Rattus norvegicus: one gene and its partners. The protein of the gene in region 1 purifies or fractionates together with the protein of each later gene. This does not show direct contact. Links are inferred from orthologs where the notes say so. Each region holds a gene or a part of one and is shown on either strand. Other genes may lie near its edges.

Region 1 (4,929 bases):
GTCCCAGACTAGCCTAGGCACCTTATATAAACAAGGAGACACAGTCCCGTAAAAAGAAAAAAGTCACAAGGAGACAAGGTGATGGCATGAGATGGTGGCCTTCTAAAGCCTTCCATAAAATTTACCTGATGTTCATGTGTGTCTGTGTGGTATGGGAATATAATAAATGTTTTCAATTATTAATGATCTCAGAAACTTAATTGTGAATACCAGTTAAGATAGTCATTTTATGGTATATGTTCTCATATATACCAGAATCTTATTTGAACATTATAAAATAATCTGGATTTTTTTTTCTAGACAGGGTTTCTCTGTACTCCTGAAACTCTTCTCACTCTGTAGACAAAGTTGGCCCCAAACTCAGATCTGCCTGCCTCTGTCTCCTGAGTGCTGGATTAAAGACATGTGCCACCACTGCCCAGCTTAAATTCAACTGGATTTAAATGTTTCATTCCTACCCTGAAGGTGTACCTAAATTTAAAATATCTATTTTTTAAAAATTGAAATAATTAAATACAAACAAAACCAAGTTTATTTACACAAATTACAGTATTTACCACATATAAATATTGACAGTTGTCACTGTAACAGCAGACAACTTCACTTTCAAGTGAGCACTTTTTGAAATATCACAGAGCTCCATGCCTCTGTTCTTGTTCTGCTACCCTGATGGCTCAGTTTATTACATAGCTCAAGGCGGCCCGACACTCCCAGCAATCCTTCAGCCTCCCAGGCGCTGGGACTAAGGCAGGAGCCTGGCTCAGTGCCCTTGGTAAGTACTCTCCATGAGTTGTGCAGTTCTCCTTCAGTCTCATCCCATAGCTGCTATGTACAAACCAAGCACAACAGTAATTGTGACAAACCCTCAAACACGTGTGTAACAGATGAGAACCAGCAGTTCTGGCTACAGGAAGAAAGACCACTGACTTTCCTGGGCTCCTTAGAGGTCTGTGCTTTCCATTTCCCACTTGACAGAACTCTGTGGCAGTGGAGTCTGCATGCCACCCCTTTCTCAGTCAGAGTCACTGCTGCTGCTTGAGGAATCTGTTGACATAACCTCAACGTCATCTTCATTTTCTTTGTTGTGCCCGGGAGGCTCCAACAGAAAGTCAGTGCTATGATTTGGCGGCAGCATGTTCACAGACATGTCATTTGACTGCCATGGGTACTGTGGAGCAAGGACATCTGAGGAGAAGAAGCATAAGGGATTGGTTCTACTTGTGATCCATCTACTCGATCCCCGCCCTCTATGCAAGAATCTTAATCTTATCTACCTACCCACTTACCTTACAGTACCAAGATCTAACAAGAAGGATTCGCAATACTAAACACAAATGAGCAGATTCCCAAACCCACATGTTAACACAGAAGTGATAGCTTCAGAAAGCACAGTCCCCCACTTATGTCCTCTCCTTAGAAAGATTCTCTCACATTAAACATGGCACCTACAAAATGAGCTTATTCTATTTGTGAGCATGCCTCAGAACTGCAAAAATGCTCTTCAGAGTGGTCACGATAAGGGAAGGCCAGGCCTGGGGAGGGTGATAGGAGATAGATGCACGTGAGGGACAGAGTGGCTTAGGTCAGTGACCTATGCACCACTGCTGGGTCTTTGGATGAAGCACAGAACAATAAACTGGTAGGGAATCTATGTAACAATATTGGTGCCCAATGCTAGACACTGCCTCACGGCCACCTCTGAATAACCCTGTCGCTTGAAAACGCCTATCCAGTTAGCATTACCTGGCAGTCTACCTGCTGCAAGGGCATCTCCCGGGAGGTGACCATTCACACCACTGGTAGAAGGATTGTTCATCTGACCCAGCAATCCACTTCTCATCTCTAAATCAGTTGGGTATGGCCGTCGAGGGTCTCCTAAAACAATAAAGACAGCTTTTAACTCAGGTTTAAAATCATGTATATATTCTTGAAGAATTAGCTGTCCTTGTTCACACTAAAGGACCGGAGCGCTTGTAAGACAGGTCTCAGCAGGTAGTCATGCTAGCCTCAAGGCTGCAGGCCTGCCCCGGCCTCTTCACAGCTGCCTACGCTATGTGCTACCACACCTTGCCTGAGGTTACCATTACTATTCTCAAGCTGGGTACGGCGGCACACAACTTTAGTCCCAGGTCTCAGGAGGCAGAGCGAGGCAGGACTCTGACTTGACCTGGTCTACAAAGTGAGTTCCAGGACGGGGAGGGCTACACAGAGAAACTGTCTCTCAATGAATAAAAGAAAGGGGGCTGGAGGAGAAAGAGACTATATTATATTAATTTTTTAAAATCATTTATTTTTCTTTTATGTGCATTGGTGTTTTGCCTCATGCATGTCTGTGTGAGGGTGTCAGAAGTCCGGGGGAACTGGAGTTACAGACAAGTGAACTGCCATGTGTGAACTTGGGATTGAACCAGGTTCTCTGCAAGAGCAGCTAGTGCTCTTTATGACTGAGCCATCTCTCTAGCTCCCAATATTAATTTTCAAAATGCACACATTTTTGTTTCTTCTCTGAATCCTCCCAGGAATATACATTCTATGTTTTGTAAAAAACATGGGGGTGGTAAAAAAAGTAGGGGTGGTGGGCACATCGCCTATAATCACACCCGTAGCCCAGCATTTGGAAGTAGAAATAGGACTGCACAGAGGCAACTCAAGGTGGAGGTGGGACAGCTCAAGGTCACCTTCAAATACATAAGATAGAACCAGACTAGGAGACATAAACCTGTCACAAAGAAACATACACAGACTAGTTTCTACACCTCTCCAGTTTTATCACAAGAACCTACTGTCATTCCCATCAAAGAGGGACACTGAATAGCAGTTTGGGATGGCACCCACACCCAAATTTGGTAATATTTCTCACCAGGAATTACCCATCCTCAGACTGCAGCCACCGTCATTGTGTTCAGCAACAACAAACACCGGTCAGGAGTGAGCAGAGCCCAGTTGGCTCTCTCCATCCTCCACGGAGGCCGCTGCTCCAGCTCTGGTTTCCCATCTCCTACTTGATCTGCAGTGCTGGGACTGCACTGTATTATCTTTGCTGTCCCTAATGCTCCCGCTCTTCCCGGCTGGTGAACTGCGCTGGGTGTTTGTTCTGTGACTGCCTCTCAGGCTGAGGCTTTGCAGGAATATAATGGCACTGAAGGACTGGCTCTGGCCAGCCTGGGTGTTACAAGTATATGAACCTATTGCTTTGAAAGTGTCCCAGATTGACCTATTAGCACTAAAAGTAAAATGGAAAAAACACTTCCCATCACTGCTTGGTAAAAACAATGTAACAGGAATTAGTTACAGTATCCTTCTGTGTTCTACACAGGCACTTAGAATGCTACAGATGCACCTCAGGACGCTTAACCTGCATTCATCTGAAAAGAAGCACTGTTACCTGGAACCCAAGTCAGTGGAGCACATACAGCATTGCTGGCACTGATCCTGTGTGCGTACTTAATGATTTCTTCAGAGGAGATAGCGCCTGAGTTGAGAAAACAGAACAGGACAGACCATTAAACACAAGCTTAGAAGAGCACACGTCACAGTCACACACCACACTTAACTATCAGGCTCATCTCAGCCATCTATCCTCCCAAACACCTTCATGTACACCAAAACTGTTACACATATATGTCTAACTAAAGAACCAAGGCACCCACTCGGCGAGGTCAGCTACCATAAATCTAAGGCCAGCATGATAATGCTCAGTAATCTCCATTACTGGCCGACGGCAAATGCAGAGCTCTTCTGAATGTCACAGTGAGGAACAGTAAACCAAGGGGAGAGCTTTTCGTTCCAGCAACATCCAAGCGGCTAACCAAACAGTCCACATCCTCTGTGACCACAAAGGAAGAGGCTCTACATGGACTGTGCACCAAACAGAAACAGCAGTTACCTCTGAGGAATGGGAAGATTTGTACTCTATGAACTCTAGACCTGTTTCAAAAAGCACTATGGATTCCTACCCAGTCCTGATTGATGGACTCAGCCACCTCTCCTACAGGCTTGCCTCTGCTACAGAAGCCCACCCGTCTCTCTGAGAATATTAGCCGTTTTCTTGGGTATAACAATGAGAAACAGATTCCATACCGGCAAGCAGAACAAGTCAGATAGAGAAATGGTTAACTGTAACCCAAATCCACAGAGCATTAAAGCGACAGCAGAGACTTCACTCTCGGTCTCCTGACTAGAAAGTGTAAGGCCTAAAGGCCGAGCGGCAGGCACGTGTACAGCTGATGCTGACTCCAGTGTTCCCTTCTCAGGTAGTTGTGTGGATTCCGTCATTATCTCTGCCTACAAGATCCAAGCTCACTCCTGCTCCTCTGTCTTTCCAGTCTGTAAACCACTGTCGTCACTACACATGTGAATGAAAAGCACGAATCCCTTCTATTATTCTATACTGAACTACAGGAGGGCTGCGAGGTACGGCTACCCTCTTCAGGATGCCAACTACACAAACACAGTACACGCTACAGTGGATAACTCCTGGGCACCCTTTCAACAGCCTGACCGTAGTAGTTTTATCAACTCATGTTTTATTTTCATGTGCATGCAGGTGAGAATGTGTGCATGTGTATGTGAAAGCATGTGAGGGTAGGCACATACACAGCTCTATGTGGGTTCTAGAGATCACATGAACAAGCTTTTTAGCCACTGCACATCTCCCCAGTCCTCATCAGCATCCTAAGACACAGGCTTGTATCTCAGTCAGGCAGCCTTCCCATGGTACCAACCTTTTCTTGCTTTCTCTATTGACTTGAGTTTCTCCTTTGCCTGGTAAACAGCTGTTGCCTAATTTGAACAAATTGAAAATACAAATTATTCTTAACTATATCAAGCATAGTGTTTAGATACACAAAGTTACCTACAGAAACATTATACAAGAATTGGAAATCCCTGAAATTTATCGGTCACCTGAAGCCCCACTTAATATCATTT
Region 2 (4,421 bases), on another chromosome or scaffold:
ATGCGGTTCACACCATAACAACTTTAATTCCAATCCTCTATACGATTCTCTTTGAGGATTTCTCTAAAGCCATTGCTTTCAAGGGACAAAGACCTGAGAATTTCCGTGAACGACTGACCCTCGTAGGTGTCTATGCCCCCTATTTAATAATCCCCCTTATACTCCTCCTGTTCATGCTTCGGAACCCTTACTACAAGTTTGAGGAGAAAAGAAAGAAAAAATAAGGGACAGCCACTAGCCTGGTAGGAAAGGAAGATCCCACAGCACAGTTGCCTTTTGAACAACACAAGTTGCTGCAGCATTTGAAACACCAACAGCAGTGCATACGAACAAGATAGTGGCAAGGGCCATGCCAAGCCTTCACCTTCCAAGGGCTAAATAGGCCACCAAGTGACAGCAAAATGGTGCCAAAGCTCTACTACAGCACTGCTAAGAACCGACAGCTGAGAAGCCGGATAGCTTCTGACCTAGAGTGCACACACCTAAGTCCTCAACTGGACCTTGATAGCCAACAAATGGGAGCAGTGTCTTGTCTCTTTAGCACCTTTAACATGGTCTCCGGCCCACATGAGTCCAAGCCAGAAATGGGTCACAGTGGAAGGAAGGCACCTCCATTTCTATCTTGAACAGATCACCTGGTCTCTGAGTTATTCTGGCGCTAACTCCATGAACCGCTCTTCCACACGTCTGTCCCTACTCTGGCATCTTGCACCACTGGGCTCCACAGTACATCCATTTGTCCTTCCCATGTGTGAGGGTAACTGACTGTCCAGTGAGTGTCGCTGTTTGTTCCACTGGCTCTCCTTACAGAAACAAAGAGCAGCGGGTGCGAGGCAGTGCTGGTTTTGCTCACAAGCCATATTGCTGTGGTTATTACTGTCTGACTTGTGTGTCCAGTCCAAATAAAGGTAGCTGCTGATCACTGCCTGGTTTGTTGTGTGGATTGGGGGTGGAGTGGGGTGGGGGAAGTTGTAGAACAGCTCAGAGGGGCTGGAAATACATGCACACAGCACCACAGAAGAAAGTATTTATTTGGTATTTATTGCTTTTCCTTGTGAATTTAACTACCTCTCCCAAAAAAGTGGATCAGCATTTACAGACACTTAGTTTGTGCTGAGAAGAGTAAGGCCCTGTGCTGCTTGGCCACTAGCAGTGGCTGCACAGTTTACCAGCTGCCCCTGGAGCACTGCCGTGACATACATCAAATCACTGGAATGGTAGAGGTTTGGTCTTTGTTTTTTGGTTGAGGTGCTTTTTTTCTTTCTTTTTTTTCTTTTCTTTTTTTTTTTTTTTTTTTTTTTTTGCCTTCCTGCTATAAAACTGAAATTTTCAGTTCATTTCTGAAAAATAAATTGGTCAATAAATTCATTTTGTTCTGCTTCTACTTTACACAAAGCTTCATATTCAACCCGATACCTGAAAAACAAAATTGTTAGAAGCCCTGAAAAGAATGAAAAACACAATTTTTTGAGAGTATAGAGCTTTAAACAGCTGTAAGAAACCATGAGTTGAGAATGAAGGCAGGGCAAGAGTCAAACAGCCCTATTTAAGACCACCTGCAAAACCTCTAGCCCTAGGGGAAGGCATGGGAGGTGGCCTCAGGCCTAGTTCTAAGAACCAGTGCTCACACTACGGGAGGCCATTTGGAATTAACCAAGTCCCCACACTATCAAATTTTAAAGTCTTAACACCCAGTGAAATGCTCTACACAGAAAGATGGTGAGGAAAGCCAAGGTGGCAGAGAAGGAAAAAGAGTCTGAGGTGATCATGGCCGCTTACCTTTCTAGCTGCATCTTCTTTTCTGCTATCAGTGCCTGCAGTTGCTGTTGCTGGGCTTCTCTCTGCTTCGCTATGGATTTCAGCAAGTTTCGAGCACCAATGGCCTAAGAAACATTACCGAAGAAGGCATGGTTTTAAACTCACCTATTAACCTACTGATCCCAACATACCTGGTACTAAATGGCACAAGTAGTCAGGTCTGTAAGTGTATGCAGTGGCCTACTGGGAGGCATCATTTAGTCTTGGGCCTTTTACCAAGGCATCTCTCCCAGGTAATCCTCCGCGTCTTCATTTTTAAAAGAAGTGGTACCATGACGATCAAAGGGAGCAATGACAAGCATGTACTGGTGGGCTGGAGAGAGGGCTCACTCATTAAAAGCAGTATCTGTACTTCCAGAGGACCTCGGTTCAATTCCCAACACTCACATGGCAGCTCACAATTTCTAATTCTAGTTTCAGAGGATCTAACACCTGGCCTCTAGATGCTGATGCACACAGGTATGTGCACACACAAACATTCACACTGAAAGTCTTTAAAAAATACTGGCGTATAAGCTCACCACACCGACCTGGCCAGCATCTCTTATTAAATGCCTGTTTTAACTAGATGAGTCCACCGACCCTACAATGCGCAGGGTTTCTGGTCAGGGCCAACTGCTGATCTCACCTTCATTTTCTCGTTCTCTGCTTCTTTGGCAAGCTGATCAACAAGCTCAATCAGACCACCAACGATTTTCTGAAACTGGCCAATTTCTTTGAGGAAAAGAACAAACCACTCTTGTTAGCACCCTTGGAAGTAGGGAGGTGGAGCTAACTGCCCTTCTAAATCGTGTCCCAGCCGTCTGACACCCACTAGCCTAAGTCTCCCACCACCCGGTCTATGGCAGGATGGGTGCTAGGGCTAGACTTTGAACATAGGCTGCAGTGTGGACCCAACCCTCCCTTTCTCAGAAAGGACTCTCGGAACACAAGTGCAGACTCTAGACTCAACACCAAGTTTCAGTAAAAGGTGGTGTGAGAGTTCCTGCCTGTAACCATGTCATTTAGTTGCCCCATTTCCCACTTGCTTTTCCAATGCTCTTGGCATGCTAGACCTGTTTTATTTTATGCAAATAAGTCCAGAGAAGGCCACAGTATGCAGCAACTACTAAACTGGGAACAGACATTAAGCAACCTGTGGTGAAAACATGGCCCAGAAATCTCTTACTTCAGCTGAGTATATGACACTGACCTGGAACCCCAGCATTAGGAAGGCTAAGTTAGGAGAATCATGAGTTTGAGCCCAACCTACAACATACATAGTGAGGCTTTGTCTTGAAAAAAGGAAAGAAATTCCCTTACTGTAGCTAAATCTGGCTATTCCCACTGGTACTGGGCTGGCTTAGCAGCTAGGAAAGGTGGCTTCTTGGAGATCAGTAACCCAGAGATCAGCACTGTGCTGAGCTGCTCCTATAGGACTTCAGTCCCCATCTCTAACTCACATAAAAATAACATCACAGTATATATAATTTCACCTCCCACCTCCAAGTCATAATTCATTAACATGAATTTTTTTTTTTTGGTTCTTTTTTTCAGAGCTGGGAACCGAACCCAGGGCCTTGCGCTTCCTAGGCAAGCGCTCTACCACTGAGCTAAATCCCCAACCCCCTAACATGAATTTTTTAAAAGATATATTTATTTTATATATGTGAGTACATGGTCTCTGTCTTCACACACACCAGAAAAGGGCATCAGATCCCATTATAGATGGTTATGAGCCACCATGTGGTTGCTGGGAATTGAACTCAGGACCTCTGAAAGAGCAGTTAGTGCTTAACCACTGAGCCATCTCTCCAGCCCCTTGAACATGAATTTTAAGGTTGCTAAAAGAAAGAAAAAAAATCACAGCACATCTAAAAACACATACCCCCAACCCCTGTCTAAAACAGTTGCTTGGCATCAAATGTGGGACTCCATGGCAGTCTAAGAGGGCAAGCAGAGAAGGTTGGGTACACTTGGGAATCCAGAGACCAGGCTCAATTCAGGGAGCAATCAACTTCGTTCTGGCAGACCCAAGAGCAATAGTCAAGGTCAGATAATGAAACTGCTCAAGGGCTGGAGAGATGGCTCAGTGGTTAAGAGCACTGACTGCTCTTCCAGAGGTCCTGAGTTCAAATCCCAGCAACCACATGGTGGCTCACAACCATCTGAAATGAGATCTGGTGCCCTCTTCTGGTGTGTCCGAAGACAGCTACAGTGTACTTATATATAATAAATAAATCTTTAAAAAAAAAAAAAAAAAGAAAAAGAAACTGCTCAAAGCAGAATGACACCGTGGCTCCAAATGATACTCACTGTCCACAAAGTCCTTGCACTCTTCCTTGAGCTCTGTGGTCTGCTGGGTAACCTCTGGGTCCAACACCCGAAGCTTGTTCAGCTCATCGAAGTGCAGCCCTGCCTCACCCAAGATGTCCTTGGCCATAGCTGCAGAGGAACAAGTCCCAACCTGAATGTCACCCCAGACATCCAAGATAATCCAAGCTCCACCCCAGCCAGCGCCAGTCCTCTTCATACTCCCCAACCCCTCTGCCTCCACCTCTCGACCTCACCTGTTTCCCTTCCAGGCTCCCTAGAGAAGTTCTGCTTTGAAGGGGTGATAGTGT
Region 3 (4,929 bases), on another chromosome or scaffold:
GATGGCAAGTCAGACAGTAAGACATCATTGCCAATGAAGATGGGATGTATTACATTAAATATCAGGTGTGAATAACCAGGGAGTGATCAATAAGCTTCCCATGCTTAGCTACTCAACTCGTAACCCCTTCAGAACTGTTAGGAGACCTTCCTGCATCACAGAACAAGGCAGGGACAGTAATTGGACCCGGCTATGCTTTTATAGCACGCTCACCCAGAAGTACTATTTCATTTTAAATTCCTTAACACTACAGAGTAAAGGAAAGGATGTAAGGTCGCCTTTCCAAATGAAAACTCTATCAGGAAGCAATGCTTTCCCGCCACTGTTCATAGTCCTCTTACTTCTTTCCCATCGGTTACAAAGGTCAAAACACCAGGATCAAAAGAAATACTGGAGACTCTCTCTAGCCTGAAAACCCAAAATGCTTCAAATTTCAGAACTTTTTGAAAGCTAACATGATTCCACAGAGTGAAACTTTGTTTCACATACAAGATTATTATAAACGATGCATGAAATTTCCTTCAGGCTATATGTATAAGGTAAATATGAAATTAAAACACAAGTGAGCTTCAAGTTTAGACATGATGTCAGTCTCCAAGAGGTCTTATTAAATAGGTGCAAGTAAGTGCCCTCTTATCTGAAACATCAAAACTCTGAGACACTTCTGCTGTCTAGCATTGTGGTAAGGGAGCTCAACCCACTGAACAAAGCAAAAGCCTCCAGGCTGGGAATACATCGACTGTTACTCTGTAAAGTGATTTCTAGTGCAGTGGAAGCTGTTTAGTCACTCTCAAGCCTAACTGAAAACAATGGCCTGTCTACCAGCAGTCCACCTTACCCAGAGGTCATGTTCAGCATAGTCAAAGAGAAGCCATACTTTCCGATCAGCATGAGACAGAAACACCTTCTGAAGAGAGATGACGTTTGGGTGCTTAAGCTCTCGAAGTAACTACAAAACAAAGGAGATCCATTCAAAATTTAACACAAAATAATACTACACACACACACACACACACACACACACACACACACACACACACACAAATTAGGTGTGGTAGTGCATACATGTACACAAGGATATAATATGTCTGCTACCGCCGTGGCAGCCATTTCTACCTGGCTGCTAGGAAGTGAACAAAGGTCTCAGATTATGAATGCTCAAGCAGAAAGATTACTTGATATCAGGAATCCACAGTTAGCTTGGGCAACAAAGCCGGGCTCCATCCCAGACACTACCCAGCCACCCACCCACCCAGACCAGCTGCAACGTAAAAGCAATGCAAGTCAATGCTCACTGATACTAAGCATTCAATCAGCACCCACTCAGTATGACTGCTACACAGGTGCTTCATGACAGAAGAAGACACTGAAAAGAGGGTAACAGTAAATCTGTCATTTGCTGCTTGACTTGGTTTTAACTTTTTAACCAAGATTACAGTTTTAGCCACTTTAAAATCTACAAATGGGTGGCATTAAATATAAGTGTTGTAGAACCATCACTACTATTTACACATTTTTAAACATTCCAAGTAGAAAATGCTACCACTGATCCAGGTCTAGGTAAACTCTACTACCTGTCCCTAAGAGTTCCTGTGGTAGACACCTAGCCATGGTGGGTTCTCATAACACCTCATCTTCCTCATGTGCGCAGGCACGGACCTGTAACCCCCAGTGGGAGGAAGGAGAGCTCTGGCTCACTCCTGCGGTGCCCATGTGACTGGTTGATTTTATGTGTGCATGTGTATCTGCTACTTGTGGAGCTAGAGAAATAAATCACCGGATGTGGGTTCTGGTGATCAAACTCAGGTCCTCTAGAAGAGCGGCGAGGGCTTTACCACTGAGCCGTCTCCCCAGCCCACCTCTCCCTCCCTCCCTCCCTCCCTGAGACAGGAGCTCTCAGTGGCCTGAAATTTACCACTGAGGCCGGGCTGGCTGTTGCCCCAGGAATCTGTGCTCCTACCTCCTCCTCTGAACTGGGATTGTAAGCGCCAGCAGGTACAGCCATGCCTAGCTTTTCTGTAGGTTCTAGGGGTCAAACAGGACCTTGAAAGCTGTTTATCCACCCAGCATCACTCATCCTTTCACATCTAGTTCATTCACTCAGTGCTATCTTCAAGGTCCACCCATGTTGTAGCATGTAGCAGGGGTTTTGGTTTTGATTTTTCCTTTTTTATAGGTAAGAGCATTCATCCCATTATATGGAGACACTCCTCACTGTACTGTACTCTGATAAAGCCATCAAAATGCACCGACACGGGGTTGGGGATTTAGCTCAGTGGTAGAGCGCTTGCCTAGCAAGCGTAAGGCCCTGGGTTCGGTCCCCAGCTCCGGGGGAAAAAAAAAAAAAGGAAGACCGACACGACAGCGCACATGTGTACTGAGGAGCGGTCAGTGGAGACAGGTGGGTCCCGGGAACTAAACTGGCCTTTAATAGAATTTTTTTTTCATTTTTTAAAGAACTGGTTAATCTTCACAAAACAAAAGGTATAGCCATACCAACTTTATTCACAGAAACCACTTGCTTTTCCAATTTTACCAGTGGGGGAAAATTTTTAAATGTTTTGAATATATATCTACTTCAAATTTATTATTCACTGTGAACCTGATTTACCACAATGGGCATACTTAACTTAAACTTGTACAAAAAATATTTAAAAGCACACCACGACAATATATGCCACTCAGAAATGAGGAAAAAGTAGGTAGGAAAACTAGTTATATTTTCAAAACAGCAGTGTTTCTTAAAGAGTTCTAAGTTTGTGGAGTACATGTGGAGTGCATGTGTGTGTGCAGGCCAGAAGACAACCTCTGGGGTCATCCTCAGGTCTGCTACCCACCTCACCTCCTTCTGAGACAAGGTCTCTCATGGGCTAGAAGCTCACCAGTGCAAGGCTGGACAGCGGGAGGACACAGGGAGCCTCCTGTCTTACTCCCTGAGCACTGGGATGACAAGCCTGCCCCGCCACAGCACTGGCAGTCATTTCTACTTGAATCCCGAGAGCTCGACAGGTCTCAGTGACCGGGAGGCAAGTATGTTACCAACTACCGTCTCCACCTCTGACACCATTCCAACATTAACAACTCCTAATGCAAAAACAGGTTCTGAATGTAGACCTCGAGTACGGTGATAGATAAACCGAACCTGAATTATGACAAATCTATTTCCAAAAGACAATTACACTGTAGACTCTTTCTTTAACTTCGATCTTCCCAAACTCTTAGAAAAAGATGGAAACAGATGCTGAGGTTGGAGAAGTGTGTTGGGAAAGCAGACTAACCATGGGCCTGCACCATCTATCAGACACTCTCTGGGATACTGGGGGCCAGCTGATTTCTGCACAGTTGGCCAGAACCCTGAACTAAAGGGATTCCAGTCCACAGGAAACTTTGGTGAGGAATGTGACAAACAGCAAAATGGAAGTGTTGTGAGGACACCTCCCCTGGAAGGTTCTCTCCTCCTTCCTGAAGAATGGCTGCACAAAATCTAAGCCATGCTGCTGTGTGTCACAGTCTAGCCTGCATAGGGGTGGCAACAGATCACAACGAACAACGGGAATCCTAAGATTTTTATTTGTAATAGATATGAAAAAACTGAATGAGTGTGAGCATGTTAGTAAGAGGAGGTGTCAGGGCAAACAAAGATGGACTTGGTTTCCTCCCTTGCCTTTTATTACACGGTCTCCCTGAGTTAAGCCTGTCACTTACAGTCACTGTATGTACATTCAAGTTCATTCCTCTCTCCACCAGATAGTATATATACCATTTCATCAGCATCTCGGTACGTACCTCAAAAGCAATCTTTTCTCAACACAATGAAAATCAATAACAACCAGCAATGATAACGTATCCAGAAAAGCCTCCTTGTACATTTATAAAGTAAGCAACTGATTTCTAAGTAACTAATGGATACAAAGAAAGAAAAAAAGAAAACTGAAAATATTCTGTACTATAATAAAACAATAAAACATCACAAAACGTGTGGCATGAAAGTAAAACACAGGTTGGAGGGAATTATAATTTTAAATATTTATAGTAGGAAAGAAGAGTTTACAAGCCAATAAACCACTTAGCAAAATGGAGAAGCACAAGCCCAAAATAGAAGAAAAGAGGTAAGAGGAGTGGAGGAAACAAACGCTCATGAATCAACAGCAACAGACAGGAAAGAAAAATGAACAAACACGGTGATAATCAAGCAGAATCTCAGTTTTTAACTGGCATACATAAAGACACTAATTCCAGCCATACAGAACTGTTAACTTTATATAATAACTGATATTCATTAACCAGAATGAAATGACAACAGGAACTCTAAGAATCAGTGATAGCACAAATAAATAAATGTATACTCTGCAAGAACTTCAAGTCTCCTTTTTCTAAAAATGCACTTTCTGGAAATACCTAAAACGAAAAAATATTTATCGGTTTTCAATTCATTTGATGGCAAATACAGCAGAGACCTACACAGTTGACACTCCTACATCAGCTGATGTGGTAACAAGAGCTTCACTTACTGCTATCTCTCTGCATGCCGACATAGAAATTCCAGTTCCTTCTATTTGTTTTAAAGCGTAGTCTTTATCGTCCTTCCTGTAAAAAAAAAGTTATTTGAATACACAGGTTACTCTGTGTTTGCATGCACTTTAACAAAGCACTATATAAAAACCAAATCTTGTGTTTAATACTGTTGTTAGAGAGGAAAATTGACAAATGCGGGCCAAGGCAGTTACCTGGGGAGGGTGGTAAGACCACTAGAATGTGCCTTCCCCGGGATGTGCAGCCTTGTCCAGGATTCCAACTAGTTGTGGAGGACATAGAGTCAGACATCCTGCTCTGGATTCCTAAGGACAAGTTTCCTTCTGAATAAAGCTTGGCTTCTGTGCTGGCTGGTCTTATGTCAACTTGACACAAACTAGAGTTATCTGAAAGGAG
Region 4 (4,279 bases), on another chromosome or scaffold:
AGGCAGTTAATGCAGGAACACACACTGGCCAGCGTGTGGAGGACCAGTGACGGAGTCCACCACATGGACAACTACACCGCTGGGAAAAACTCAGGGAGCCGTACAGAGGAGGTGAGGAAAGGCTCTACGCCCAGACAGATTAGACTGAGGACTTTTAGCTTCCAGGAGAATTCTAAGACGATGACGATGATGATAACTGATAATGATGATTCAATAATTAGTGGCATTGGAATTTTGGTGAGGATTACATTGAATCTGTAGATTGCCTCTAGTAAGACAGTCATCGTCACAACAATGAACGTTCTAATCCATGAGGAGGTCTTTCCATTCTGTTGTGCCTTCCTCCATTTTTTTCCTTCAGTATAGTCTTTCATTTCCTTGGTTAGGTGTATATTTTTCATGACAATTGTGAGATTCTATTCCTGATTTCTTCCTCAGAATGTTATTGGCATTCAGTACAGCCATGGCTTTTGTGTGCTGATTTTGTATCCTGCCACTTTGCTGAAAGTGTTTATCAGTCTAAGAGTTTTCTGATGGAATCTTTAGGTTCTCTTCTACATAAAATCATAGAATCTATAAATTAGGAAACTTTATTGTCTTCTTTTCTTATTTGTATTCTTTTTACTTATAGCTTATCCTAATGACCTGGCTGAGACTTCTAGTACTGTACTGAACAAGAATGGAGAACACACATCATGTTCCTAGTTTAACCCAATTTCATAAAGTATGCATCCAGTGTCATAAAACAATGTTGTATAAACCACATATACTCTTGGGCTCGAGTTATAGCTTAGCATAGTACCTGCCTAACAACCACAATGCAAATAAAGGTAAAAGAAAAAAAGAATGAACAAATACAAGGTAAGTACTTAAATGGTGTGGTGGCAGGCATGTTGGTTCCAGCACTTGGGGGCAGAGGTAGGAGGCGTGATTGACACACCCAGTCTGTCCCAGGACACCCAGTGCTACGTAAAACCCTATCTTTAAGAAAATATATTATCAAGAGAAGGGATTCTACTATATTAAGGGAAAAATGATAACAGTTTATTTCCACATAAGGACAAATTATATTCCAAATATTCACATAATTTCAAGAAAGACTTTTCCTAAATTTTTTTATAAAATATAACCCTGTTGCCTTGCATGCTGACCCTGATGCCTTGAATTCTGAAAAAGCCACCTTGTACATTAGTATTACCTTCAACTGAAACATTTAAAACATCCATACCTTTTGGGTCTCCTTTACAAAGCTGAAAAATCTTTCTAGGTATCTTTCATGATAAATGATGCTGGTGATAATTTTACTCTGTGGAATTGTACTTTGGTGATTTTTCCACTTTTACAAATAAAGAACACACACACACACACACACACACACACACACACACACACACACACACACACTCTAATGGCCTATACTGGAGACCAGGGAGTTACATTTTGTCAAACCCAGATTGAACAGAGTTGAATTGAGGTTAATACAGAGAAAGGCGTGCTCTGGATGTGTTGTCCTTTGTATTTCCTGAAGCATTAGGTGAATGGTGAAAACTTCAAAGAGTTTCTTGTTACTCCTGTAAAAGAATGGGCATATTACTTATTACTTATAAACTTGAGAGAATTATGCAAATGTGAGGAAATAGCACTTGCTTTTTAAAACAACGGAGAAAATGGCTGACTACAGGATTAAGAAGCTAAGAAAACTAGGTTTTATGAGCTAAGCCCAGAGTGGAAAAACATTAAAGGCAAAAAAAGAAAATAGTTTATATCCTAAAAACTGATCCAAATTCACTAACAGAATAAAACTGCTAGGAACAAGGAACCCCTGCTTCCCACAGTTAGACAGAGACTGACAGTTACCTTAAGGATCTAAAATGGCAAATATACTATTTTTCATTTTCTCTCTGACAGACATTCAAGCTTGGTGTCATTCTGAGCGCCTTTAATCCCAGCACTCTGAGGCAGAGGTAGGCAGATTGAGTTCCAGGACAGCCTGGTCTACACAGCAAGTTCTAGGGTAGTCAGGGGTACATAGACAGACTTTGTCTTACAAAACAACAGAATAGGAGAAGGAGGAACAAAGAAAGAAGAGGAGGAAAAGGAAGAGGAAGAAAAGAGGAGCAGAAAAAGAAAGAAGAAAAAGAGAAGGCATTCAGTAATTTCATTTTAATTAGAATACTATCCTAAATGTAAAACAGAACTCCACCATATTTTATTTTCTTATCTGAATGTATCTCAGAGAGAAATTATCAAATAGCTCCACATTAACGAAGGTAGAGACGGGTGGTTTCCCAGACTCATTGGTCATGTAGCCTAGCCAATCAGCAAGCTCCAGGCTCAGAGAGAGACCTGGTCTCAAAAAAGAAGAGGAAGACACTTCCTCAACCTTGAGTTTCCACATACACGCATACAGAGAGACAGACAGAGAGACAGAGACACAACAGACACACAGATATACACACACAGATATACAAACACACAGACACTGAGACATACACTCAGAGACATACACAGACACAGATACACAGAGACATACACACACACACACACACACACACACACACACACACACACATTCAGACACACAGACAGGCACCAATGCACGTTTACTATCACTTTGATTTTCTCATTTGACTCATATAAAATATCAGTATACAGTGATTTGTTCTGATGTTATCACTTGATTAATAACCTTGTTCTTATTAGAAGAGCCATGCAGTTAGTCCTGGGTTCCTAGTACCATAAAAACAAAAAGCAACCCCCAATATACAAATAATCTCCCTCTCAACCTTAAGAAAGCCGTTTTCTTGGTTTTGCATGCTGTCTGATATTTAAAGTTCATGAACTGAATCAACTGAGGAACAACAATATATATTCAAAGACTAATGTCCATTATTAAATCTGTGTCTCTAAAGTGTGTGTGTGTGTGTGTGTGTGTGTGTGTGTGTGTGTGTGTGTGTGTGTGTGTGTTGTTTGGTACAGGCATGTGCAGGTGAGTGTATGCATAAAGGACAAGGGAGGATGTCTGGTGTACTACTATCTACCACTTTCTGACTTGTTCCCTTGGAACAAGGTCTCTCACTGAACCTGGAGTTATGCTGTTGCACACCAAGGCCTGCTGATCCTCCTGTCTCTATCTCCTATCTATCTATCTCACAGTGCTGGGCTCAAAGGTACACATAGCCACACTTAGTCTTTTATGTGAGTCCTGGGGTTTAAACTCAGGTTCTTGGGCTTATAAAGTACCTACTCTTACCTGCTGAGCCTCTGCCCAGCCCCAAATATGTGGTCTTTGATTCTTAAATTTTTACATCTATAGACTGGAAATCATGATCACATTAGAATGAAGTAATAAGTAAAACCGGCTTGAGATTGAGACTGAAAAAGCAACCCCAATAATGATCACAATATAATTATCAATTAAGAATGTTACAAAAATGACTTCCTTACTTGATTTTGGAAAGCTTCTGTAGGATAATGCTGAGCTTTTCTAGGATGTGAAGATCAAGTTTAGGGGTTCGCAGCAGCACAGAACAAGTACGAAAAAACAGAGAGTTGCTACAGGCTTCCAGGAAAGGCTGCAGGGACTCTGCAAAACAAGTCACCATGCTTTACTGTGTGAAAAGGAATACAAAAAGGAAATTATAAAAGCAAAATCAGACTCATGTGAGTCATGCATCAACACTGCCTTGGACTGTCATGCTTTCATCCTTAAACTTTGGGACAAAATTATCATTTGAAAAGCAAAAACAAACTCTCGTTGGGCGTCACACGGAGCAGGTTATTATCTAATACAAAGCGTGCTTGAAAGGAAAGGAGAACATGTTTCTTCAACAAACTTCTAACTGGAAGCCCAGTCCAGGTGACTGCAAATAAGCCATTCTGTTGATGTAGTAAAGTAGTTTTCTTTAAACCCGTAACAACTCTGTATGAGATAGGAAAGGACATTCTGAGCCCAAGAGCAGGCAGAAACTTGAGGATCAAGAGTTTCCTGTGAGACTCCCTAGGATGTGAGAAGCTGCAACTGTGAGGTCTCAACAACGTGACCGCCTAAACATGAGCTGTAACAACAATTTAACAACAACTGGTGAGAAAAGGGGCATCAGGTTTGAGACGAGAGCACGGAAAGGCATATGGGAGGGTTTGAAGGAACAAAGGGAATGGGGCACAATGTAATGATATAATAACCTCAAAACAGAATAAACAAAAACTTGAGAGTTAACATAAAAATGAATTTATCTGTAAAATTAAAATCAAAATAAAAACTAAAATAATCAAGAGA

The links. The genes of interacting proteins can lie anywhere in the genome.
Region 2: the proteins of Med4 (region 1) and Ift20 purify together in Homo sapiens (affinity purification with mass spectrometry; 3 studies listed by BioGRID and IntAct, with this or other methods). This does not show direct contact. The link is inferred for Rattus norvegicus from reciprocal best matches to the Homo sapiens genes MED4 and IFT20.
Region 3: the proteins of Med4 (region 1) and Cdk8 purify together in Homo sapiens (affinity purification with mass spectrometry; 9 studies listed by BioGRID and IntAct, counting the BioPlex papers as one, with this or other methods). This does not show direct contact. The link is inferred for Rattus norvegicus from reciprocal best matches to the Homo sapiens genes MED4 and CDK8.
Region 4: the proteins of Med4 (region 1) and Ccdc138 purify together in Homo sapiens (affinity purification with mass spectrometry; 3 studies listed by BioGRID and IntAct, with this or other methods). This does not show direct contact. The link is inferred for Rattus norvegicus from reciprocal best matches to the Homo sapiens genes MED4 and CCDC138.

Annotation. Positions count from the first base shown.
Region 1 is NC_086033.1:55,111,940-55,116,868, reverse strand, and holds the end of Med4 (mediator of RNA polymerase II transcription subunit 4), read right to left. Parts: intron 4,783-4,929; coding exon 4,725-4,782; intron 3,473-4,724; coding exon 3,386-3,472; intron 1,876-3,385; coding exon 1,744-1,875; intron 1,186-1,743; coding exon 1,013-1,185; 3' UTR 515-1,012; downstream 1-514. UniProt on the Homo sapiens protein: Component of the Mediator complex, a coactivator involved in the regulated transcription of nearly all RNA polymerase II-dependent genes.
Region 2 is NC_086028.1:63,932,774-63,937,194, reverse strand, and holds the end of Ift20 (intraflagellar transport protein 20 homolog), read right to left. Parts: coding exon 4,368-4,421; intron 4,243-4,367; coding exon 4,114-4,242; intron 2,533-4,113; coding exon 2,447-2,532; intron 1,884-2,446; coding exon 1,780-1,883; coding exon of another isoform or gene 1,776-1,779; exon of another isoform or gene 1,417-1,775; coding exon 1,335-1,416; 3' UTR 1,023-1,334; downstream 1-1,022. Other genes in the region: Tmem97 (sigma intracellular receptor 2), read left to right, coding at 1-224. UniProt on the Homo sapiens protein: Part of intraflagellar transport (IFT) particles involved in ciliary process assembly. May play a role in the trafficking of ciliary membrane proteins from the Golgi complex to the cilium.
Region 3 is NC_086030.1:13,886,471-13,891,399, forward strand, and holds part of Cdk8 (cyclin-dependent kinase 8), read right to left. Parts: intron 4,588-4,929; coding exon 4,512-4,587; intron 950-4,511; coding exon 839-949; intron 1-838.
Region 4 is NC_086038.1:27,112,198-27,116,476, reverse strand, and holds the end of Ccdc138 (coiled-coil domain-containing protein 138), read right to left. Parts: intron 3,612-4,279; exon of another isoform or gene 3,587-3,611; coding exon 3,448-3,586; intron 1,572-3,447; coding exon 1,406-1,571; 3' UTR 1,023-1,405; downstream 1-1,022.